Kluyveromyces lactis: one gene and its partner. The protein of the gene in region 2 interacts with the protein of the main gene of each other region in a pairwise test. Links are inferred from orthologs where the notes say so. Each region holds a gene or a part of one and is shown on either strand. Other genes may lie near its edges.

Evidence for each region.
Region 1: the proteins of TIM17 (region 2) and PAM16 interact in binary tests that used the Saccharomyces cerevisiae proteins (3 or more experiments, as listed by UniProt). The link is inferred for Kluyveromyces lactis from reciprocal best matches to the Saccharomyces cerevisiae genes TIM17 and PAM16.

What each region holds. Positions count from the first base shown.
Region 1 is NC_006042.1:1,283,240-1,285,324, reverse strand, and holds PAM16 (import motor complex subunit PAM16), read right to left. Parts: upstream 1,048-2,085; coding exon 628-1,047; downstream 1-627. Other genes in the region: transcription factor HAP4, read left to right, coding at 2,078-2,085. UniProt on the Saccharomyces cerevisiae protein: Essential component of the PAM complex, a complex required for the translocation of transit peptide-containing proteins from the inner membrane into the mitochondrial matrix in an ATP-dependent manner.
Region 2 is NC_006037.1:543,382-545,567, forward strand, and holds TIM17 (protein transporter TIM17), read right to left. Parts: upstream 1,059-2,186; coding exon 594-1,058; downstream 1-593. Other genes in the region: serine/threonine protein kinase YAK1, read left to right, coding at 1-278; KLLA0_A05852g (uncharacterized protein), read right to left, coding at 1,469-1,723. UniProt on the Saccharomyces cerevisiae protein: Essential component of the TIM23 complex, a complex that mediates the translocation of transit peptide-containing proteins across the mitochondrial inner membrane.

The DNA of each region.
Region 1 (2,085 bases), on a different chromosome or scaffold from region 2:
TAATATTAATACACATATACACCATAGAAACCTACGGTTTCGGTTATCTCTTTTCTCAAGAAGTTTTTCCTAGGTTTCTTCGGAGATCTAGGAACGGCTTTAGTTAATACTGGAGAAGAGTGACTGTTACCATTTTTTAACCCATAGCTGAATGGATCCTGACTAGCCCCAAACAAGCTGGCCACAGTTTCCATTTCGTTTCCGGTTTCTTAGATCAATAAAGTTGGAAGCGCATTGAGTTGGGAGGGGAAGTCTCTTCCTTTTCCCGGTTTTTTGCATCACTTCTTTCTTTTAACCATTATGAAGAGGTCTGGAAAGTGATGATTAGAAGCGGTTTAACAGCTCGCTCTAGTTGTTCTTCCAGGTGTTGCATGTGATCCAGAGGGCTTTGCGTAATGGCTGCCTGAGAGTTTGGATTTTCACTCTCCGTTGTGCCCTTCTTCATGATGGAACAGTTTTCCCATCTTCTAGAGAATTTTTGTATTAATTAGTTGTAGACATAAATCAGCTTCATCAACCACTGATGATATTGTGCTGAACATGATACGATGAGCATGCGATGCGTGTATTTCGGTTTATTTGAACTATTTACAAAACTTATACTAGGCCAGAGAGAATGACCTTACGCTATTTTTTCAACTCCGGTGACTCCGTCGTGGAACTCGACTTCGCTTGTTCTTGATTCAGTTCTGGATTGGCAGCCTTTTCCTTTTCAGCAAGCTCGTACTTCAAACGCTCTGCTGCCCTGTAAATCTTACTCTGCAAGTAGAATGATCCACCTTTCTCTTTATCGTTGATCTCGAACAAATACTTGAATCTTTCGTTGATTTTATCCAAATTCATATCCTGTTCATTCTCAATGTTCAAAATCTTAGAACTCTCATCTAAAGTGATACCTCCGTATTCTGCGCTAGCACCACGGCCTCTAGAAGCATTTGCCGTTTGTTTAGCTGTTTGAGCTGCTGCTTGTCTGTAAGATTCCGCAAACGCACGTCCAAACACCTGTGCCCCGGTGAAAATCACCTGTATAAACGCTCTGTGTGCCATATCCTATAGTCTTGTTGTATTTCTTGGATATGCGCAGTTTACTCGAACTGGAACGGCGTTCTTAGACAAAGCTTAGAAGTTAATCCGATGAGTAGTTTAGTGTTTAATGCTGTTATTAGTTCCAGTTCTTTCTGTTCTCAACTTTTCGATGACTTTTCGAAAACAGAAGGGGTTACCCGGGGATGTCAAGACCAGCCCCACATATTTGCTGTGACACCGTCAAATAACTATATATCTGGTTGACAGCTATGCCTCATTAGAATGATTTAGCTAGTCTACAATGACTACAGATGGAGTTTGTAATTGCATTCGCTCATTCAGGCTTTTTATAGGGTATTTTTATGAGGTTTTAGCTTCTCATTCCACATTGTAGAATGTGGCATCGGAAACGACGCAGGTATCAAGAAATTAAACGATAGGTGATCCCAGCAACAGCAGCTACGCTGCTGTTGCATTGATTGGGGATGTGAATTCAGCATGCTAGTACTAGCGTAGTACTGTAACGGGGAGGAGGGGGGGGATCCAGTTTGGGAGCGTGGCTTTGTATCTGGGGTCATGGTCACGTGATCAATTATTAGCAACTCAACACCCAATCCCCATTTCAAACTTGAGATACCTCTTAGTACTCAGGCCATACTATCTTATGGCCTGAGATATATAAATTCATGATGGCTCGTCTTGATGTATCATGCCCTCATTTTTACCATTGTTCCCCCTCTCTCTCTCTCTCTCAATTTCGGTTTAAATTGAAAAGTTGAGTAGTTAATTCTACCGAAACAAACGACTTCTCCGAAACTAAAACAGGTTCTAACAGACACACAAGGACTCAACAAGCGTGATTCAATCGTATCGCAGGTGGTTCAAACTAATTTAGGTTGCATCTCGCCGTAAGGTTTTTGTATCCTACTTTCAAACGCATACTTCGCAACTCTGGTTACGGCTCCGGTTCCGAACCAGTTAATATTGTTTTCGCTGGTCCGGAGAGAATTCTATAATAAAAGCACTTCAGACACAGAGTAAGAATTAACTAATGTCCAG
Region 2 (2,186 bases):
CAAGAATTTCGAAAAGGATTTCTGGGAATCCAGCACTTGTTGAAAGAGAAATAAAGAACAGGGACTGCTTGTTACATTTTTTGAGAGGAGTGTTGAACCTCAATCCACTCGAACGTTGGACCCCACAACAGGCCATTTTGCATCCCTTCATCACAGAAGAACCTTTCACAGGGGAGTGGTACCCACCGGGTACCATTCCAAAGAAATCACAAACAGCTCGTAATCCTTCATTACAATTCGACTCTGTAGCGTTGGACAAGTTACAACTTGGCGACTAATGTAAGCAAACACATATGTAGCATTTTGACTTGATATTTTGTATAATACCGATCTAATTAACCGAATAAAATAGGTTCTTAATTCCATTCACACCGCAGTTCAGTCCATCTCTCAATATTAAATGTGATATTTTCAGAAATATATATGATATTTATGTACATGGGTTTAATATTCCTTTCGTTAAGAGATATATAGTCATTAAGTTACTCTGATGCAATGGATAGAGAAACAAGAAGAAGAGAAGCGTATGGTACAGCGCAGCAACCGCACGAAACAAGTTTAGAAAATGGGAAGTCTGATTATTCTTCCGATCTTCAAGCTTGCATTGGTTGATCTGGCAAAGGTGGGGCCATTGGCTTTGCTTGCCAAGCAGCGTATCTTTGGAACATCAAACCAACACCTTCAATGACACCAAGTAAACATGCACAAGTGATAGCTGAGTTTCTGGTATGCTTCCAACCTCCTCTGATAGCCAAAGCACCACCGGTGAAGAAACCGGCAATAATAGCATTCCATGGATCTTCTCTTTTCCTCACGGCCTTAACACCACAGTCAAAAGTAGAAAACAAACCACCCCATACACCGAAGTTACCACCGACAACTGGTGCTCTGGCCTTAATTGCACTGACAGCACCAGCTCTTCTTTCACCTAGTGGAGAGTTACGGAAACCCTTGATACCATGCCAAACACAACCACCAATGACACCCATAGCAAAGGCACCACCGAAATCGTTAAGAATCACAATAGGACAAGGATCCCTCGAATGATCAGCAGACATATTTGTATTATTCTAGATTATATTTGCCTTGATCCGAGAATTCAGTTTAAGCTCCAATATCGCTCTATGTCCTTGATATTAGCTGCCAAAAAAAAAAAGTAGATAGCCCTATCTTTCACCTTCTTTCTCCCACGAGTGATGTAGATTCTCTAATTCTGATAATGAATCTTAAATGCAGAGATCAAGCATACAATCATTACAGACCTGAAGACCAGTTATCTCATGGTGTATGATGTCTAACTTTGCCAGTTCCAGTTTCAATATTGAAAAATTTCTATGAAAATTCACGGCAGGGTAACGTTAAAACTAATAATTCATTCATTCATACTCAAAAGATACAAAATTATATACATATATGCTTAGATGATAGGCAATATGCCCTGCTGTCAGTAGCGTAAAGTGTTCTATGGCTATGGAAGTGGATTCGGATGCGTCTGGGAATTGTTCGTTCCACCATCGGGCTCATTTTGTGATTCACCCTGTGGGAAGACGACATAGTAGAACGTTATCGGTACCGGCTCGAACTGGTTCTCGTACTGGTTATGATATTGGTAAGTTGGTAGGACGTTCCTATCTGGTTCCTTTGCTTGCTGGGACGGAGGTGCAAGTCTTCTGGTCTGTCTCTTGGTTCTTATTCCTGTTCTAGATCTGTATGATTTTGTCATTACGGGGCGTGCGTGACTCTTCTGTATTGCTTAAGGATTTTGTACTCTCGTGATATTGTCTAAGCCTGCGAATGGACGCATTAATGAGCAAGGGACGACCTTGGTCGTCCTTTATATACAGATACTCCTTCCACGGATGTGAGTCAAGACCGATTTTCTTTCGTATTCCAAGAACTCGGTATCAAAGGTTACGGTCGATGCCCCTCGATGATTACTTCAGCCGCACAGAAATCCAGGCAGCAATGTCCGGAAAATCTATTTTCGTTCCGGAATCTTTCATCCACGTGATATACACGTGGATGTCACGTGAGAGTGGTTTTTCTTTCCCACTCTCTGTGTCTCTCTTTTTTGAGTCAGCTTACCATGACTCCATAAGAAAAGAAAGATTCGTCTCGAACGTGGAATGATGCAGTTGAAAGCGAATTTCTGTTGAGAAATCGTTGACTTGGTATCCTTGCTTCCT